Linked DNA regions of Arabidopsis thaliana. The protein of the gene in region 2 purifies or fractionates together with the protein of the main gene of each other region. This does not show direct contact. Each region holds a gene or a part of one and is shown on either strand. Other genes may lie near its edges. The genes, in order: ABCE2, DPB, AT2G05830 and NRPB11.

Region 1 (6,526 bases), on a different chromosome or scaffold from region 2:
AAGGAACTGAGTAGTAACTCAGAGATGGAACCAAACAAGAGCAGTTTCATAAGCCTGTTGTCAGCTTGCAGCCACTCTGGGTTTATTGATGAAGGTCTAAGTTATTACAAGCAAATGGAGGAAAAATTTGGGGTTAAACCAGTTACTGAGCATCGGGTTTGGATTGTTGACATGCTTGGCCGGGCAGGGAAACTGAGAGAAGCTTATGAGTTCATCACAGGGATTGGTGAGCCACAAAAAGCAGGTGTATGGGGAGCGTTGTTGAGCGCTTGCAACTATCATGGGGATACAAAGTTGGGAAAAGAAGTTGCAGAAGTTTTGTTTGAAATGGAACCAGACAATGCATCTTATTACATCTCGTTGGCAAATACTTATGTTGGATTGGGAGGTTGGGAAGAAGCTGTAAGACTACGGAAGATGGTGGAGGATAATGCCTTGAAAAAGCTTCCTGGTTACAGTGTTATTGACGTTAGGTGTTTAGATACTGTTTCTTGAAGTTTTCCTATATCAGTGAGTTAGACGCTGTGTAAGAAGAAAGAAAATAATGTAAAAATAGGCAATAGATTGTAAAATCCAAAGTAGTAACATCACAGTAAATGTTGAAATCATCAACTCAGGAAGTACAAAGCCAAAAAGAAAAAAAGGTTACAGATTCTTAAACTTTTATTGCTCAGTTAATAAAAGCTGTGAGAGAGAAAATGTAGAAGTAAAACTGATGAAACAACAATTAAAAGCTTGACCAGAAAGAAACATCTGTGCTTATGCACTCGGAAAACAGATGGCTGCGTAAAATATTCCGAGCTCATAGATCAACTTCCTCTGAGCAAAAGACCCTTCTGGAATTCGAACAATGCCCTATATTCTGTGAATCCATTGAAGGACATTAAGAGAAAACAAACATTTTAGATGTTGATTCCATAAAACGTTGTATGATTGAGAAAACATGATTGGATTTTAGTGATCAAGAACCTCTTGGTAGTTGTCCTAATCATCCAAGTAGTAGTATGAGCCTGCAGACTTCTGTTCCCTGTCTTTGGTCGACTCCAATTTGTTGATTCTTGGTCTGAAATTGGTGGGATCCCGTCTGAATGTGATGTTCAGATGCTGCATGGTAACGAAAAACATAAAATAGGAATCATTAGCACCAAACCTTTATGCCCTCTTCTCTTGCCCATACGGTGTAACTAAGAGATATAATAGGAGACTTACAGATAAGAAGAGATTCATTCCACTGAGCAGTGATTGAGGACAATTTGCAGTACAATCAATGGATGGTTGTCCTTCATACACAATGACCCGGTCTGCCAAATAGGTCGCCATTATAAAGTCATGCTCGACTACAAATGCAGTTTTCTTTGCGTGGAGAATAAATCGCTTTATGACTTTAGAAGCAACAATACGTTGCTCAGAATCGAGATATGCACTTGGCTCATCGATCAGGTATATATCCGCAGGCTGTAAGAATTCACATTGTGGATGCATGAGATCACTGAGAGAAAGAAAGCAACTACGTCATATAGACGTCTGAAACAAAATAATTACCTTTCCGAGGCACAGAGTTAATGCAACCCTTTGCAATTCTCCTCCTGAGAGATTGACAACTTCTTGATCCATCAACTGCTCAATCTGAAGTGGTTTCATCACATCCGACATAAATTGTGGATGCATGTAAGAATCTCGAATCTTTTGATGTAGCAGGTGCCTAACTGAATTCTGAAACTTTGGGCTGATCTTTTGTGGCTTATACGAAACATTGAATTCTGGTATCTCTCTGTCTGGTCCTTCTGTGTCGTCTGGTTTCAACAACCCGGCCTGCAAATATTACCAATATTACAACTTTACAGTACAGTACTTTCTAAAACTCTAACCACAAGAGAACATATCATGGAAGAAGAGAATACCAGCATCCGAATAAATGTTGTCTTCCCTGTACCATTCTCCCCAAGCATTACAATAATCTGAGAGTCAGTGAATTCACCTTCCGACACTCTCAACCTGAAGTTTCCTTGAGTTTTGGTCATCGTGGGGTATTTGTACCTAGCGTACGACTGTATCTCTTCAGCACTTTCTTGTGGAGTCTCAGCAACCTTCAAACAAAAGAAAAACATTGAGGAAAACAATTTATTGCCTTGGCGACAAAACTTTGCCTTTCATCATACAAAATATCTATACCTTGAAGGTCAAAGATTCATCTCTAAAACGTAAATTTTCTGTAGGAACAAATCCAGCCAAGAAAATGTTGATTCCTTCTCTGACAGAGAAGGGGAGAGTCACCACACCATAGGCTCCTGGTTTCCCATACAGACAGCAAATGAAATCCGACAAGTAATCAAGAACACTGAGATCATGCTCCACAACAATGACGTAGCTGGGAAACAAAAAAAAAACAAAAAAAAAACAATGTAAGTACCTTATTTTTTATCCCTTTTGAAAAAAAAACTTCAGAAGCTGGGAAATTCAAACCTATTAGGCCTCAGGAGAGAACGAACAACTTGAGCAGCTTTGAGTCTTTGCTTAACATCGAGGTAACTAGATGGTTCATCAAACATGTAAATCTCTGCATTTTGTATGGCAACAACAGCGATTGCAAACCTCTGCAGCTCACCACCAGATAAATTCTCAACATCACGGTCAATGACCTGGTTCAGCTCCAGATCAGCACAGAGCTCTGCCTTCTTATCTCTCTCATCCTTCTGGTCAAGGACCTCTCCAACATTGCCTTTAACTGCTCTTGGGATGTGGTCGACATATTGAGGCTTTATAATGGCCTGCCATGCACAGGGTATCAGAACTTGCTCAATTGAGCTGCTTAAACATCAAATAATACCTAGCTACCTCATGGAGAAAAATATTAATATCAGTTTCAACTGTACCTTAAGATTATCTTCTAGAATACGTGTGAAGTAGTTTTGAAGTTCTGAACCACGGAAGTGAGTCAAGATTTCTTGCCAGTCTGGAGGACTCTGTTCAACAAGGAATATATGAACACATCAACTATGAAAGAGACCAAATTTCGAAGATAAAAGTTTAGAAACTCAAGAGAGGCTATTACAGTGAAACGGCCCAAATTTGGTTTGAGCTTTCCAGCCAAAATTTTCAGAGCAGTTGATTTTCCAATACCATTGGTTCCAACCAACCCTAGCACCTGCCCTGGTCTTGGAACTGGGAGCCTGGAAGTAAAGACAAAGATTTCATTGTCTGAAAACTACAAGAGCGGTCAATTTGTTTCAGGAAAAATAGTAGATAAACGAACCTGTGTAACTTAAAAGTGTTTGCCCCATAACGATGGGTCGTATCTTTCTCCAAGTCTCTTGGAAGATTGATAATCTGAATAGCTTCAAACGGGCATTTCTGCAATTGTGTAACAACAGAGTCATTTAGCATCCCAGTTTAGGTGCCATTTCTAGAGGCATCTTGGATATCGGAAAGAGCCTATGCATACATACCTTCACACAAATACCGCAACCGATACACAACTCCTCTGAGATAAAAGCAAGCTTGGAACCAACAGTCACCTCAATACAAAGTTTTCCTAAGATAAAAGGCAAGTTAATGAACAAGTGGCACTAAAAATTTGTAGAGTTACAACAACTTCAAGTAGGAACTATAAGCTAATGGCTTCACATAAACACCTAACCATTCTCTGTCTACTAATTGGCATGACGCACATAACAAAGCTAATCAATTACAGTACAATAATAATAAATCCACATGAAAGACCACAGATCCAAATTTGGAATAAAAATATACACCTGTCTTGACCACAGGACAACTCTTCTTGCACTCTTGGCGACATTTCTTTGGCTTGCAACGGTCTGAACTCACAATAGCAATACGTGTCAATCGATCTGCCATCTCTCAACAGACCTACAAAATACATGAAATCTATAGTTTAACAGCCTGAAGAAACTAAATCACACAGATACAAATATACCAAATAAAGATGTCACGCTAAGGCAAAGGAACGAAATAACAACATAGGGAATAACTATAGAGTAGCACAAACAATATTTAAAATAATAACTTGAACACCACAAGATGCTAACAATGATGAAATAATAGTTGACATGCAAAATCTTAAGAGCCAAGAAATAATATTCACTCAAGCTTGAAAAACGCAAATTCAGTGCTTCAGATAAAAATGGTGAACCGAATTTGTAAATTCCAAATTCTTCCACATATCTATAAAGAGAAAGGTCACTAATCTGTTACAAAAGTTGACACTTGCCCAGAAATCAAAACAATCGAGAGAAAGAAAAAAAAAAACATTAAATTCAAACACTTTCAATACAATTATAAGAATTTTGAAGGTATGTCGATGGCTCAATACAATCCAAGCTGCGAATCAATCGATTACAAAAATTATACATCTGTAACAAATCGAAAAGCATCTGACTTGAAATCTAAATCTCCATGGACGAGAAATAGAGAAATCGAGATTAGTACCTGAGATACTTAAGAGTAGAAGAAGAAGATTGAAATGAAAAAGCGTGTGCCGATTGTTCTAAGGAACCAGCGGAGAGCACACGCACCTGAGAGTTACTGCTTTGCTCAGAATGAAGAAAAAAAAAGAGAAACGAATTTAGGGTTTTCTGAATTATCTGTTTTCGTTTGACCCGATTCGCTTTTTTATTGGGCTTGGGTCGGTTACAGTTTGGTCTGAGCAAAGCAATTTGTCGGAAAGCCCTTCACTTCCGTAATAAAATCAAATTTGTTTTCTCATTTTCTGACTTTCCTAGTTTTAGAGAAAACTAGTTAAAAATTGTCTTCCAAAATTTAGTTTCTTTACTCTCAAGGAATTTTTTTTTTTATCTATTCATTTGGATTAACAAATATTATTGCATGTCAACTATTCAATAATCAAAATTAATTCAGTTTGTTCTCTGTAAAAGTGAATCAGTGAAAAACAGACACTATTCTTGCACGACCTTAAGTGTTTGTCTCGTTATTGCATAAGATATTGTTGAAGTACTTTGGAATTTGGATCGGGAGCGAAACGAAAATAATGGCCAAAAAACGAAGAATAACAAGATAGAAAGGTTAGGATCTACAATAGCATAAATATTTTGGAGAACTCCACCAACATCAAATGATCAAACAAAGAAGATACTGAAGAAAAAACCAAACACAAACTGTCATTACAATACCAAATTATAGATAAGTTTCAAAGCATCTACTATTGAGAGATTAAAGAAACCTCTGCTGCAGATACCATAAGGTTTATACTAGCACTCTCCAATTATTTCCTCAACCAGTAATCTCTAAACCGACATAGTTAAAATGAAATATGTTTGAAGGGGGATTATTAGAAACATCGGTCAGGTAATGAGACTATACTGGAGGAGAGGATCAAAGGTGGGGTTTTTGAGATTACTTCCACTTCTTGAATTTGCCTCCTCCTCCAAACATGCCATGTTTCCCGTGCTTTCCATGCTTTCCGTGCTTGAATTTGCCTCCATGCTTTCCGTGCTTGAATTTACCATGACCACCATGGCCAAAGCCATGAGCAGGGGCATGGCCATACCCTCCATGTCCTACAGCATGCCCGTAAGGGTTGTGAGAGGCGTGACCAACATGGTGAGCTCCATAAGCTGCTGCGGCTGCACCAGCTGCACCTGCTATCATGCCTCCGAGTCCACCACCAGAATGTCCTGATGGAAAAAAGAAAATAGTATTACATGGAGAACCACAAAGTAGCAGAATGCATATAAGAGACCACAAAGTTGCATATTGATAAGCACACACGATTAAACATGTACTCCTAGTAGATTTAAAATTAAAACATCAATGTATACACCAAAACAGAAGACAGTAAGTTTATATGTCCTCATCTTTTTATCACAGAAAAAAAAACAACATTTCAGAAACAATTGTCATACTATCATTCAAACTTGACAATACTTAGCAGGCTGATAATCCAGCAAACAACAAGGCCAGTTCTAAGCTTTATTTACAAAGAAAACAGTAAGATTTACAAACTATTGTTCTATTATCATTCAAAGTTCGAAGGTTAATGATCCAGCAAACTTCACGCACAATCTTTAGCTTTTTTCATAGAAAACCGAAACATTTATAAAGTCTTTTCCTATTAACATTCAATGATTAACAATATTTAGCAGGTTGATAATCCAAGCAAGCTACAAGGACACTCCATAGCTTTTGCATAGAAAACATCAACATTTACCAAAACTACAAAGAAGAGCTCTTTAACGAGACAATGCATACCTGAATGGTGAGCTCCAGGTGCAGGATAGCCAGCAGGAGGGTAACCTCCAGGTGCAGGAGGATAACCACCGGGCGCAGCAGGGTAAGCACCAGGAGGATATCCGGCAGGTGGGTAGCCTCCAGCTGGAGGATACCCTTGTTGTGGTGGGTAACCTTGAGGAGGGTAACCTCCTTGAGCAGGTGGGTAATGTCCACCTCCTGGAAAACCATGAAATCCTTTCTCTTGCTCATCATGATGCTTGTCTTTACCACCTCCCATTGCTTTTTTACTTTAAACCTACAATATTTTGTCAAAGATCAA
Region 2 (5,404 bases):
CTCCTCATTGCTCTTCACTCTCTTACGAACTCTGTTCAAATTCAATTCAAGCAGACCAATTAACCAAAACAATAATTGAAGTACGTCTGCTGTCTCCAATTTTCCACAGATCGAAGCAAAAACCAAAAAAAAAAACGACGAGAAATTTCGAACCTGGTTTGTTTGGTGGAACATGCGAAACAGATAAAACTATGCTTCTTCGTGGAATTCAAGTACGAAACAAAAAGTTGAGGCTGATGATAGTAGAACGATGGTTTCCGAAATTCGAAACAAGGGAAGGAGATAGAGAAAGGTATCTGAGAAATCGTCGCCATGGCCGGACTTTCTCAAGCTCCGATGTTCCCAGCATTTATTAACATTCAGACCGAATTACATGAAACAGAACTACATTTCTAATGATATGATTGATATGGTAATATTTTAACCGGATTTCGGTTCAACAAAACCGGAAATCGATTAGTTCAGTTTCGTAATTTCCAAAATTGAAGTCCATAACCGGGTTTCCGAATAACAGAACCGAACATGGACTAATCCAAATGGTTAATAAAATTCATTTCTACACCACAGAGCAAAGTGTTTTTTTTTTCCTATGGCAAAGATTCTTAAAATCGCTAAACCCGACAAGGATCCTAGATTCGATAAACCACCGGTACATTTACCGCTAAACAGACTATTCGTCAAAAAACCAGGTAAAGTTTTTCAAGAGCTACTTTACAGTTTTACAGAAATTGTACAAGGGGCCTTCATACGTGTTTCAATTCTCCGGCTTCATGCTGGAGTTCATTATCCCTGGAAGAGACGGGGATTTCACTGGAGCAGTATCAGCGCTGGAAGTAACGTTGTTAGTCTCAGGCATAGGAATGATTTGTAGCTGAGAATGCTGCTGATGTTGTTGCGATTGAAGATGAGTCTCGTACATATCCAGCTGCGGTGTTGGACCTGTGCTGGGGCCTTTGTTAGGGTTTTCTGGCGTGAAATTGTGACAAACCAGCTGGCTGTTGTTCCGACCGTTTGGTTGTTGCGGCGGTTGATCACAAAACTTCATAGTCTTGAGGACAAAATTGTCGTCGTGGAGCTCAAATGGAGTGCTGCAAATAGTGAAAACAGTTGTCACAGTGTCAGTAATCGGTTCCATAGATATATTAGCTGAAAAGAGATCAAATCTGGTGTTTGGATTTTACCTGTTGAAATCAAAATGCACGAGCTGCATATCTTCTGATATCTCCACTTCTACTGTTGCGTGAGGACGAGTCTGGTGCAGAGAAACAACAACAATCAGGTGATTTTTTCATTTTTCTGAGGTTTCCTTGTGGATCAATCTAAGATCATACGAAGCTGTTGGTGAAGTTTACCTGGACAAGGATAAAAGGAAGAGCAACACCGCCACTGGGAGCATTTCCTGAGCTATATAAGTGCTCATTTCTCTGTATCAGATTCTGAAGGCCTACATACTTTCAGACATACACAGAGATGATAGAAGGACCATGTAAGAATCTATGATAAAAGTAACAGGAAGCAGATAAGCCGAGAGTATCGATGATGTTCATTACTTGTTCTTCCAGTTCTTGGGAATATGCAGTTTTCTTCTCAATTCTGTTCCTAAGTGAGAGTCGTTCGTTCTGCAAAACAAAATAATTCAAATTCAGGAAAATTCTCTAAACAAGCTATGGAACATCTGCACATAGAATATGTGGTTGAAACCTTTAATTCTTCAATGTCGCTTAAGCTTGTCCGAGGAAGACCTCTCCATTGAATTTCTTTTTTATCCTTGGATATTATATCCATAGCCATGAGGACGTTTAAAGCATCATATACTCTTCGTCTTATGTTTTTCTCATCATACTGTTGCTGGTAAAACGTTTTCACATGATATAATTTCATCAGAGTTCACAACGAGTATTGCACACGTTCCAGGGTAGAAACTATCGAAGAAACGCATACCTGATCAGGGGATGTTCCATCGTTATTTGGAAGTGCAAATTCAGCAACAAGCTCGTCTGCAACCTGAAAGTACTATCACCTGTTAGATACCGTATTACAGAGCTACACGTTTGCAGTACTAATCATGAGACAAATTGATATTCCCATATGTGATCTTGACAAGTGTTTAATCACACTGGTAAGCACAATAAATCAGTATCATCATATAACATAAACAGAAGTGAATGGATCTTGCAAAGCATAAATACTGTGAAGCTTTTTGTTTAAAAAGGAAACTACCGTACCTCATTGTAAGTTGTCCTTCCTTTGCTTTCCACCTTTTCACAAACTGAAAGGAAGGCCAGACGAACATAATATCAGTTAAATGTATAACCAATCTTAAGAGGCATTATCCACACAATTCATAGCTAGAAACTTGAAAGGCATTTAGATGAAAGCATAATAGGGGCAGAGAAAGAGATAAGACCTTTCATACTAAATTGACGTAGTCCTCTTCCAGTCTTATCTGGACCAGCCGCACGCTGTCCCCTCTTCTTCTTCTTAACACTGTAAATAGATTATATGATCAACTAAACTACACAGAACACATGTAACAACTTCCACACAAAAATTAACGCACAAAGACAATGGCCTAAACAGTATCTTTTGTCCCAATAAGGATAGGAAAGATGAGTATTCAAATATGCAGATTATTAGTAGATTTTAGACTAATACATATCAGGAGAGCCAAATTCAAGCTTGTAAAAGTATGATCCACACATCATACTTACATCTACTGGTTCAGTTTCATATATTCATTAAGCTCATAAAAGCAGCCATTGCAATAGAATGAAAACCCTAAAAATCGCTAAACCAAACATCACAATAAACACATCAAAGCCTTTTAATATAAAAATCACAGAATTGAGGTGGTTTACATACCCAGAAGCTCCTTGAGAACCAGCATCATCACCTTGAATGTCCAAATTATTCAGGCGTTGAAAAGTAGTGTCGCTAGTAGATGTAACAACGGTGATGGTTTGCTCACTCCGGCTCGACGGAGAGCCCATACTGCCGCTAGTAGACACAGATTGACCTGAAACCGCCGTGCCCCAAGACCTAGTACTAGGGTTATTGTTGTTATTATTGCTTTCATGGTGGTTGTGATTAGAATTAGACCCAGTAGTTGTCATTCTTCTTCCACCTAAAACTAACTACCGCGCTACTGGAGAATTCAATAGAAAACGAGAAAGAGATTTGTTAAAATTTGTCAAGGAAAGTTTCTGATTTTGACGAAAACCCAGATTTTGAGTACTGACCTTGAAAATCGACTTGGGTTTTTGGTTATTAACGAGAATTAGAAGCTTCAATAATGGCGGATCAACATTAGAATTCTTAGTGTGATACTACTCTGGAAAGGTGGTTTTCGCGGCGGAGAGTTAATGGATTTCGCCGGAGAAGGAGGAGGATAAGTCGATCGGGGTTGGGAGGCTTGTTATTTGTGCGATGGTGAAAAGATGTCCACAATGAGAGAGAGAGAGAGGGACCAAACTGACTCATAGGTGAAAAAAAAACAAAAAGTTAAAGAAGATAATTTTCTTTACTTTTTTTTTATTTTACCAAAAGATTAATTCTCTTTAGTGAAATTTAGGTCTTTTGTTAATCAGAATATAATACTGGAATTATCTTTTTATTTTTATTTTGGCTAAACACTAAAATTATCTTCGTCTTCTTCTTTTGTTGGCTAAATACTGGAATTATCTACCAAAATATGTTTATATGGCTTTAATAAGCATGAAAACAAATATAAAAAACATACATTGATACATCATAATGTAGATGGATGATCAAGTCAAAAAGTTAAAAACATGTGTGGTTGATACCACTAGTCAATCACATTCGATATGAATTTTCATTATATGAAATTTACTCATTCTAGTGTTGATAAGATTTGAGCTTTTAGGAAATATAAACATATCATGTTCATCCTCTTTCATTACTAAAACTGGAGCAAAAGAGTTTTTCTAGTTCCGAAGATTATGTGATAATGTAGCTTAAGGTTCACGAAAGGCACATTTTCTTTTCTTTTTAGCATTTCTCGGTTTGAAATAAAAATCACATGCCACATGTGGCTGATTCGAAGTCAAAAAGTATATTTTGTAAATCACTATTAGACGAATAAACGAGTATTGAAGATCCATCAATAAAATTCTTAATGAAACCTTTGAGGACAAAATAAAAATCCAATCTCAACTCAATTGCTTTTGAAAAAAAGGACAATTGAACAATTTGTTCAAGCCTTAGATACTACTACTCCAAGTCATCAAGTTTGACTTGAAATTGCTCACCTGAAGACAAAACCTTGACACTGACCGAACCAACTTCCCAACCAGAACCGGCCTTCTTGCGTTTACCCGAGCCGCTCTCTTGAACACCCATTTCAGCGGTTTACTCTCCAATACTAAATCAACGGTTTGCCCTTTGTCTTTAAGAGCGGTTGCAATGGTGGTTGCAGCTCCTTGGAGATCTTTGTCCAAAGCACACACGATGTTCTCTACTTCTTGTCCCAATTCTGGCAACAAAGCAGCTGTTAATTGATGTTTAGATTGCTAACCTTGTCTATAATGAAGCAAACTCTTCCAAACAGGTCTTCGGGTACACCATACTTTTTTAAAAATTCTTGTAAAACCTGTACAAGGAAGAAGTTATGGGAGATGTTAGCTACAGTGGATATTCAGATGCTGCAGATCGTGCAAAATAATCTCAACTCATGTTTAGCATTGCAAGTGAGTTACTTGGTTCTGTATCTAGAGTGTAAACCAAGAAACAAAATGATCATATCACATCAAAAGAGAACGTAAGCAAAAATACCTTGCGGCTTGAAACCTTAAAACCCACATCTGATGCAGTGATTCCAATTCGCTTGAAGAATGTCATTATAGATGAAATTAGTTCTGCTTCAGCCTAAAAGAAAAGGTTTGTGAACCAAATTAGCCGGCTTATAGAGACTTTAAACACAGATCAGGTTCATATAACAAAAAACTAGAAGGCCTAAAGTGATTAAAGGTATGAGAGATACATACTGTAACTTCAGGCACACCAATAATATCCATATTCCACTGGTAATGCTCACGTCGCCTTCCTCGTGTCATTCTCTCATATCTCCAACACTGCCCAACAGCAAACCACTTCAATGGAAGGGAAACAGATTTTCTGGACCAAAAAGAATATGGGAATCAACATTCTCACATCCTTACCTGATACAGAATTTTTACAAACAAAAATAAATAAACCGCTCATTGAAGAATAAGGACAATTCTCAAGGCTTGAGAGAAAATTCTGCATTAGTTACCCTTTCTGTATGACAAGCCTCGCTAAAGAAGGTGTAAGCTCAGGCCTCAATGCTACACGGCGATTACCCCTATCTTCAAAGCAGTAAAGCTACACAACAAGGTTGCAAGAGTTTAAGCTAAGGAACTAAATT
Region 3 (5,155 bases), on a different chromosome or scaffold from region 2:
ATTTGCAGAATTACGTTTTTCCGTCAAAATCGTAAAATCGGAGAATTGTATTTTTCCCGTCAAAACCGTAAAATTTAAAAATTGCGTATTCCAGAAAATTGTGGAATACTATCTTTCCTTTAAAATCGTAAATAATTTAATAAGAAATAATTCATTAAAATTTAAAATTTTCAGAAAAGTAAAAACTTATAAATGTAAAATATATTATTTAAAAATTATTTAGTTGTAATTGTAATTAAAATTATAAAAATACAATTAAATGAAGACATGTCTATTGACTCAATTCATGCCCATGGGCAGCCCGTTGTCCATATGGTCAAGCCCATATTATCCGTGGACAAAACTGGTCATATGCCCAATTAGACCATTTGTTTTTTGGTCCAGAATATAGCTCGTCCATATGCATTTGGTCTAAAGTTCAGAATTATCAAAAAATTGATAAAGTCGAGGCATTTCGAATTGTTTGTTGACACAGAACAAGGAAAACCTCTGAAATTATTTCAATATTGACGGGTAGGAGAAACGGTATTCTTTTCTTAAACTTAAAAAAATAGAGAAATAAGAACCAAGTCAAGATGGACCGGGCAAGCCCATGGACAAGTTGTTTTACACTAAAACAAGTTGTTTCCCAATCTTCATTAGCATTAAACCCAAGACCAGCATTTTGGCTACCTACAATTGGCTAAAACGTATCGATTATTTCTTATTTTTGACAATTTTTACCACAGTGTACTTAGTAGCTCAAACATTACAAAGTAATTTGCTTTGTTGCAAGTATATAGAGAGAGGGGAACATCCGCAAGTCGCAATGCTGACTCTAACTTCAACGAGATGAGTTTCCTGTTATCTTCTTGGCAAAGCTGCTTATGTCAAATGTATCATTGCCATTCTTTGTTATGACCCCCTGCATATACAAACACGTTGAGAGATTCAAATAAATGAGCATAAATATCTTCCAGAACAAGCAAGGCTGGAAAAACGAACTTTCTCGGTTATGATTCCTGCAATCAGCTCTGCTGGAGTCATATCAAAAGCTGGGTTCCAAACTGAGATCCCTGGTGCTGCAATGCGTTCACCAAGTCCTCCGTGTGTGTGCATCAACTCCTTTGGAGATCTTTCCTCTATCACGATTTCTTTCCCGGATGAAAGTGACAGATCAACTGAGGTAAGAGGTGCAGCAACATAAAATGGGATCCCGTGATGTTTTGCGCACAAGGCGAGACTGTAAGTCCCAATCTTGTTAGCAGTATCGCCTGGAGTATATCAATGAATTGGTTAAGAAGTGATTCAGTCATAAGGAATCAGATTTGTGAGAGAAAACGGATTTATCTAAGGTGTTTGAGTGTACCATTTGAAGCCACACGATCAGCTCCAACGATGACACCATCAACACGACCATCTTTCATCAGTGCAGCTGCAGCTGAGTCTGCAATGAGAGTTGCAGGGATTTTCTCATGCACCAACTCAAACGCTGTAAGCCTCGATCCCTGTCAATTGCCATTTAGTCATAAATTCAAAAGACTTTCAACAACAGTTCAACAAGATATGAAAACTCTATAAAGCAATGGATTCAGGGAGCTGCCACAAGAAGTATCTGTCCTACGTTCCTTCATGGTTTTGAAGCTTTTACCACCGTTTTGATAAGAACACATATGTCAATATAGAGGTAATTATCGTCCCTAACAACTTAAGGTATTCTACGGATTCTTCTTCTTACGATATTGAGAAAGAAAAAGTATTAATTTAGGAGTTTTACTTGATTAAATGGACGAGTTTCTGTGCAGTATGCTCTTTCTAAGATTCCTTGAGTATGGAGTGCACGGATGACACCGAGGGCAGTACCATATCCGGCGGTAGCAAGGCTACAAAGTCAATAGAACTCGTAGTTAATGCCTTACTAGGAATCTACCACATAAACATAACACCAAAAACCATTACACAACTCTATTGGTTGAAGCTGCATACACATATGTGGTAACATGCTATTACTCAACTTGAGTAACTTATGCAGACGGTATCTATGCAATTCAGAAAATCTAGCTAAATCAATACCTGCCAGTGTTGCAATGGGTCAAAACAGAAAGCTTATCAGGATTCTTGGCTTGTTGCCTCAACAAGCTTAAACCAAAGTTTCCTATAGCTTTGTTTGAAACAACATCATCTTCAAGCATATCCTCACTAGCTTCAATATATGCCTGAAGAACAACAAGCACAGAGAATGAGCTAAACTTACAAAAGCAAAAGGCACACACACAGATGAATTACGAAACTTCTTGATACCTTGAAAATGGATTTGGCTTCGGTGGCAGTAGCCAAGGCCTTTGCTATAACATGTTTAAGTTTCAAAGCAGCATCTGCAAGATTAACTGCTGTTGGACGGCTGAAGAAACAAACATAAAAAGCAAAAGACATTAGAGTAAGCACCAAAGATGCAAAACTTAACTAACAAATCCAAAATCTAACCTTGACACTAAATAATCCAACTTGTTCTCAAGAAAAGCAACAGCATCTGAAGCTGATCCATCAAAACCATGAAAGTTGAAAACTTCAACAGCCAAAGAAAGAGCAGCAGCAATAGCTATAGCAGGAGCACCACGTACAACCATTTCCTGAATAGCACTCCTACCAAAAGTATCAAACTTTTTAAACCACAATTTTCCCAAAACAATCTCTAATCATAAAGGTAAAGACTTTACCATCCATCTGAAGCATCACGAATCTCTAAGTAAATAGTCTCTAAAGGAAGCTTCCTCTGTTCCAATTCAGACGAGTAAACAGATTTGAGGAAAAAAAGTATAAATTTGAAAACTTTATAGAAGTGAAAGAGAGAACCTGATCGAGTAACTGGAGAGAGCCAGGCTTGTAACAGATAGCTTTGAGGGTCGTGTCTCCTTCGCCGGACATGGTAGGACTTGTTGGAGAAATCTTGAAGACGAATAAGTTGTTTTAAAGATTGGTTTAGAGAAAGAGGAACAAAAGGAAAAGGATTTGTGTCAGTAGTGATAGTGAGAATCAGATAGATGCCTAGAGCACCAAGCCGGCGTGAAACACACCAACCGACGTCGTTTTGTCTGGAATAATGGTAGATATATTTTAGTTAATTTAGGGCGTGAAACAAGCTGGTTTTAAACAAATTAAAAGTGATTATTGTTTATAGTTCTTTAGGAGCAGACTGCTTATCTACCTGTAACCTTTTTAGAACACATGTGCTTTTAAAATATTTTAAGAAACTAATAGTAGTTCTTTAAATTGTAATCACTTATTGTTGTGGGTTAATACTTTATGATTATCTAAATATCAGTTTTTAAATTTTAATTTAATTTTAAGATTACTAAAATATTATTTGATTATATATCATATATGATTTAATGTTATTTAAATTAATAATCCTCCCTTTAAAATTGATAGAAGTTTAATTTTATTATTACACCCAAAATAATTTTAATAGAATATAAATAAATAAATAAAATATATGTATTCATAATTTCGACATATTTTGGTCGGCAAAAACCATAAGGCATAGTGATATACTCAAACTTCATCAATTTTATTTCGGGTGCTTACAAAAAAAAAAACTTCATAAAATGTATAAGGTTCCTTTAACTAATATTTTTTTTTTCTTTCAATGCTTTGTCAAGCGTTTTTTCCTCGATATCAAAGCCGGATTCAGAGTATTCGATTTCACAAAACAAAATTGTCTTTGACAATATCTGATGTGGTGATGTGAAGTCCTAAAGTATTTTTTTCCTTGGAATCCTGTGTAGATTGTAGAGCAGACAATTGAAAAAAATTATTAGTTTTATCATATCTCATTCTAATTGAACCAGTAATGAAAACGAAAGTGACTACTTCTAAATTCTAATTTACAAAAAAAATGTATCATAAGAAATATCGTAAACGCCTACAAATAGGTTTCATTCCTATCGTTTCTCATGTTATGATTAAAAAATTAATCATAAGAGATATGGATATGAACTATATATCAAAATAATGGAAGTAAATAAAGAGAAATGAAAATTATTCAAAATTACTTATGAAAACAAACTTTGGAGAATTAGGCATGTTTTTTCTATCTTGTTTGCTACAAATGATTGGTGAATAAGAACTATATTCCCAGAAATTTTTGGGATACCTTTAATCTCTCGTGTCTGCAAAATAGTCGGCACAACAAATAAAAAATACCAGAAAATCAGAATTATTATTAGTTTATCAACAAACAAAAAACGTTTCGGAAGCATTTCGACAAACAGTTGGTAGACAAAACTTTTAGCACACGTATGAGATGGTTTTAAAATCATTCGAAAAGGGCCAACGAAGTCTTTTCAACTACATATCCTTGTGATTATATATTTTTAATTCACGGTAACCAATAAAAAAAGTTTAATGCATTTTTATGAGTAATGAAAAGAGTAATTTGACAAGTGAGAAGTTAGATGTCAAACTAAAAATAAGCATTTCTTTTAGCTCAGAAAGTAATCATCTATAGTAGAAAAAGGTTTTTTCTGAACAAACAAACTCACAATGTTGTCAAATTTTCCTTTTTTTCTTCTGAATTACATTATTTCAATTGCCAAACATAATAGAAATTCATTATTCTATTTAACCAGTAACCAAACACACCTAAATTTATTCTGTTACCTGAAAAACTTAAGCGGGACTGGTGCGGGTTTAGGTACAATAACTAAAAATATTTTGTATATGTTTTTAATTATAATTTATTTTTAATAACATAAATAAATTTAAAAATAAATGAATCATGGATGTGATCGCATTTTCGCTTCATTTCTCTGCTTTTATTAGGGCTTTGTTTCTTCGCTAGGCCTCTTTCATTTCGCATAGCCATCTCTCTCTCTTCTGCCTTTTTTGACTCATTGTTCCATTAACTCTTCTCGAGACACAAAACAAACATCAAATCAAGTTAATTAACAATAATCTCTTTTTCTATTGTAGATGAAGAAGAATGTATGATGAAACTCCTCTGTCAAAAAGTAAAAAAAAACAGAACACAAGGTAAAATTATCGAAATTGTTGGAGATTTTTTTTTGCTATGCCATCTTATTTTAAATGGCAGTCAATTGTATTTAAAACGGATTTTCTAATTCAAACTTATAATTAATTTTCTGTTAGTTTCGAGAAGGGCTTGTGTTTTGATCAT
Region 4 (3,465 bases), on a different chromosome or scaffold from region 2:
AAGACAAGAGCTCTCAAAACGCACAAAAACGAAGCAGCATCCTGAACAGAGCGAGTGTGGTAGATCAAGAGGAGGAAATGAAGCTTGATGATGAATGTTTTGCTGAGTTCTACGAAAGATACATAGCTGGAGGTGGAAGAGTGTCTTACATGGAGAAGCATCTCACCAACTCCTCTGAGACTTTCACAGCTCTTAAATCACTAGATGGAGAGTATGGGCTGGTGATTGTAGGAAGAGGAGGGGGAAGAGCGAGCAGTGGGTTAACCACCGGCCTCAACGACTGGCAGCAATGTCCAGAGCTTGGTCCCATAGGTGACGTTCTTTCAGGATCAGATTTCTCACACAACACATCAATGTTAATTATTCAGCAGCAGCGTACTCGGGGTCAGCTAGAAGGGCTTCATGATGACTTCACTATACTGTGAATATCTGTACAAATGCACTTTACTTAGTAGCTTGGGAAGAGTAGTAGCTTCACCATCACAACTCTTAAAGAGACTTTGTACAATAGTTCAAACATTAAGCGGTTTATGTAGATAGAATGGTAAAAAGAAGAGGTAATCTAAGCATTACTTCATAGCATCCTGAAATGGTGTTGAAACATAGAGTTAAAAGAAGTTACAGGCCGATTTGTTTTTGATTTATACAAAGCATAACTAGGGAAAATTTCCCAAGCTCATTATTAGTCTTGATTGGTGCTTAGCAAAAGACAATGTAAAACGTTTTCCCCGATGTGCTGATGGAGAACTCCAAGTTCCTTAAAACTGATTCGAAAACTTGGCCACCTCTGCCTGAAAACACAGAAGGGTATACCATAAGACCAGGTACATCAAACAACATCAATAGCATTTGATATTCGTCTAGCTTATTAACCACATAATCAGATAAGTATATCCGAAGAGAGAAACTTATGTACCTCAAACTGGTTCTTCAAGTAGTCGAGCTCCTTGTCCAAGTCATTGATGGCCTGGTTGTATGCTTGCATTGGGGAAGACTGGCTTGTTGTGTGAATCTACATACAGAAACCACTTTCACAATTAAACAACAACATACAAGATCTTTCTATAAGTCCTTAAGCAACCAGTAATCCCAGAGGAAACTGTTAACACTAGAAGCTTAAACCAAGAAATATTCACGGTTTCCAAACAACCATACACTACTTTTAAGTTCCTAAACCAATCTTTTGGATCCTAAGGTCAATCAATGAACTGAAAAAAACGCAGAGGATAGCATTGTTCTTTCCAATTCAAAGCAACAGGCTCTACAGTAGAAGCAACTGAAAAACTTGGAACTTACCCTCACTATGATTTTGTACTTAAGAGGATGAGGAAGTTGGTATCCAGCAAACAAGACATTCTCGTCGCGATGAAGTTGCCTAAAACAAAAATTTCAGAACAGAGCTGACAAAAATTAGGGCTTTCTTCTTTCTGAGAAAAGAGTTGCAAAATCAACAAAAAGACGTACATGCGGACAATGTTTCCAATCGTATGGTCTTCTCTCTCAACCGTGAAGGAAGCAGCATTGATGATCTTCGTATCCCTATCATAAGAAACCCTAGAACATAGAAATCGAGAGGGTTTAGCACATGTAAGAGGACTATCGAGTATGATTTCGAGTGATAGAAACTTCAATTACTTCTTGGTGCCTTCAGGGACGACGAATCGCTCATATCGTTCGGGAGCATTCATGGCTTAATCGGAGATTTCAAGCTTCGCTCTCTTTTTCGCCGCAGAGAGACAGTCAAGAGTTCTTCAGTTTCTTTCTGGCAAACAAAATATAATACGACGTCGTTTTTCATAAAAGAAAAAAGATCGAATCTCCACGTGTTATATTATTATTGGTGTATACAGTTTGGGTCGGATCGGGCCGATAAAACATAATATTTCCGTTTAAGGACCTCTAGGTTTATATTATTTACACAATAAAGGACGAGTGATTTAATTCAGAAACCTAACAAAAAATTCAGGAAAAAAAGAAAAGAAGTCAGATCCCTAAAAATCGAACCCGAAAGCGTAAAACTTGAAAACCGACTATGGCCTTTCACGTAGCTTGTCCAATTACATGGTATGTTTTTTTTTCTTTCTTTTGGCGCCTCCTTTACTCGTTGGCTTGTTTGTTTTTACTAATCGAATTGTTCTAATTTGGGGGTTTTCTTCTTTCTTTCGTTCTTTCTCCGCAGCCGGAAAATTTGCTTCTGCGTTTTGGGGTTTTCTCGGAATCTTCATGGTAATGAAGTCAAGGATGTGTATCTCAAAGAGATCCATTCTCTTCAGGAGTTCGTGCGAAACCCCTGGGATGCTGAGGTTTCCAAGGACGGTACCGTTCAGATCCATGTGCCTAAGCTTGCTGTTTTCGATACTGGTCCTCGCATTGCGGCTAGAAATGTTGGTGTTGGGAGTGATTCGGCGATGGAGGTTGTTGCTGCATCATCGAATTTGGTACCAGCTAAACGCACCTTGGTGTTGCAGAAGAAGGCTGTGGAAGTTTATGCTGCGAATGATTGTTCTGGCGACTTAGAGGTTCGAATTCTTACTTGCGAAACTTGTTTTTGTGGTTAGGGGTTACTGCTATGTCAATTGAATTGAACTTGTTTATAGGAATCTGTCTTTGTGAGAAAACGTGTTTTCAGTGATGTTGATTATCTGTATCTCGTGTATGTGTTTTGGTGTTGTCCTGTCTTTTCGGGTTCTGTAATCTATGATTTATATGTAAACTACTTGTGATTTTTTGGATGATTATGAAGTCTATTCTCGTCAAGACACTAATTCAATGTTATGTCTTTCTCTATGTAGGTTTCAGTCAAAGACCTCAATGAAGAAGATCATGATCATCACAGTGCAAGCATAACATGTCACATGTGCTATTTGGTTGAAGTTGGGAAGAGTGAGAGAGCCAAGATGCTTTCTTGCAAATGTTGTGGGAAGAAGTATCATAGAAACTGCGTGAAGTCTTGGGCCCAACATAGAGGTATTGTTTCATAGGAATCTATTGTTTATGACTTATGAGTCTTTCTGCCTAGATTCTTATACCGGTTTTTGCTAGCAGATCTTTTTAATTGGAGCTCTTGGGCGTGCCCATCTTGCCGAATCTGTGAGGTATGTTCGGACACAACTTTGTGCTCAATGATTATTCTTGCTCTTTACATGCTGGGCTAGGTATGACTGCTGCTTGATTATTTGTATTCTTTTGATCATTTTTCCTTTAGGGCTGCGGGACTTTAGGGGATCCAAAAAAGTTTATGTTCTGCAAAAGATGTGATGATGCATATCATTGTGATTGCCAACATCCTCGGCACAAGGTATAGTATTTATTGCGTCTGTATAAGGTTCTTATCTTATCTTTTGCAAATTGGTTTATTTTAATCTCTGAATATTACAGAATGTTAGTTCTGGACCCTATTTGTGTCCTAAGCACACCAAATGTTACAGTTGTGAGTCTACAGTCCCTGGGAATGGCCAGAGCTTA

Evidence for each region.
Region 1: the proteins of DPB (region 2) and ABCE2 purify together in Arabidopsis thaliana (affinity purification with mass spectrometry, with the first as the bait; one large-scale study listed by BioGRID). This does not show direct contact.
Region 3: the proteins of DPB (region 2) and AT2G05830 purify together in Arabidopsis thaliana (affinity purification with mass spectrometry, with the first as the bait; one large-scale study listed by BioGRID). This does not show direct contact.
Region 4: the proteins of DPB (region 2) and NRPB11 purify together in Arabidopsis thaliana (affinity purification with mass spectrometry, with the first as the bait; one large-scale study listed by BioGRID). This does not show direct contact.

What each region holds. Positions count from the first base shown.
Region 1 is NC_003075.7:10,499,235-10,505,760, reverse strand, and holds ABCE2 (RNAse l inhibitor protein 2), read right to left. Parts: upstream 4,639-6,526; 5' UTR 4,447-4,638; intron 3,868-4,446; 5' UTR 3,856-3,867; coding exon 3,753-3,855; intron 3,533-3,752; coding exon 3,447-3,532; intron 3,352-3,446; coding exon 3,254-3,351; intron 3,171-3,253; coding exon 3,053-3,170; intron 2,964-3,052; coding exon 2,874-2,963; intron 2,769-2,873; coding exon 2,464-2,768; intron 2,369-2,463; coding exon 2,173-2,368; intron 2,088-2,172; coding exon 1,902-2,087; intron 1,813-1,901; coding exon 1,543-1,812; intron 1,456-1,542; coding exon 1,210-1,455; intron 1,105-1,209; coding exon 985-1,104; 3' UTR 970-984; intron 863-969; 3' UTR 544-862; downstream 1-543. Other genes in the region: AT4G19220 (Tetratricopeptide repeat (TPR)-like superfamily protein), read left to right, coding at 1-495; AT4G19200 (proline-rich family protein), read right to left, coding at 5,371-5,651, 6,226-6,484.
Region 2 is NC_003076.8:840,551-845,954, reverse strand, and holds DPB (Transcription factor DP), read right to left. Parts: upstream 3,468-5,404; 5' UTR 3,240-3,467; intron 3,146-3,239; 5' UTR 3,114-3,145; coding exon 2,863-3,113; intron 2,488-2,862; coding exon 2,408-2,487; intron 2,270-2,407; coding exon 2,226-2,269; intron 2,005-2,225; coding exon 1,942-2,004; intron 1,849-1,941; coding exon 1,702-1,848; intron 1,620-1,701; coding exon 1,551-1,619; intron 1,452-1,550; coding exon 1,353-1,451; intron 1,253-1,352; coding exon 1,182-1,252; intron 1,089-1,181; coding exon 755-1,088; 3' UTR 501-754; downstream 1-500. Other genes in the region: AT5G03420 (5'-AMP-activated protein kinase-like protein), read right to left, coding at 1-31, 154-314; AT5G03406 (Class II aaRS and biotin synthetases superfamily protein), read right to left, coding at 4,511-4,609, 4,792-4,884, 5,004-5,133, 5,273-5,361. UniProt on the Arabidopsis thaliana protein: Involved in the regulation of the G1/S transition. Increases the DNA binding activity of E2F proteins after heterodimerization.
Region 3 is NC_003071.7:2,227,508-2,232,662, reverse strand, and holds AT2G05830 (NagB/RpiA/CoA transferase-like superfamily protein), read right to left. Parts: upstream 3,125-5,155; 5' UTR 2,905-3,124; coding exon 2,833-2,904; exon of another isoform or gene 2,753-2,832; coding exon 2,697-2,752; intron 2,623-2,696; coding exon 2,464-2,622; intron 2,381-2,463; coding exon 2,281-2,380; intron 2,196-2,280; coding exon 2,053-2,195; intron 1,863-2,052; coding exon 1,757-1,862; intron 1,488-1,756; coding exon 1,349-1,487; intron 1,254-1,348; coding exon 985-1,253; intron 905-984; coding exon 824-904; 3' UTR 514-823; downstream 1-513. UniProt on the Arabidopsis thaliana protein: Catalyzes the interconversion of methylthioribose-1-phosphate (MTR-1-P) into methylthioribulose-1-phosphate (MTRu-1-P).
Region 4 is NC_003074.8:19,317,311-19,320,775, forward strand, and holds NRPB11 (DNA-directed RNA polymerase, RBP11-like protein), read right to left. Parts: upstream 1,814-3,465; 5' UTR 1,689-1,813; coding exon 1,636-1,688; intron 1,555-1,635; coding exon 1,465-1,554; intron 1,376-1,464; coding exon 1,297-1,375; intron 1,191-1,296; coding exon 1,101-1,190; intron 1,013-1,100; coding exon 917-1,012; intron 792-916; coding exon 759-791; 3' UTR 539-758; downstream 1-538. Other genes in the region: chx28 (cation/hydrogen exchanger 28), read left to right, coding at 1-425; AT3G52100 (RING/FYVE/PHD-type zinc finger family protein), read left to right, coding at 2,033-2,064, 2,180-2,519, 2,598-2,651, 2,793-2,967, 3,046-3,095, 3,206-3,298, 3,379-3,465.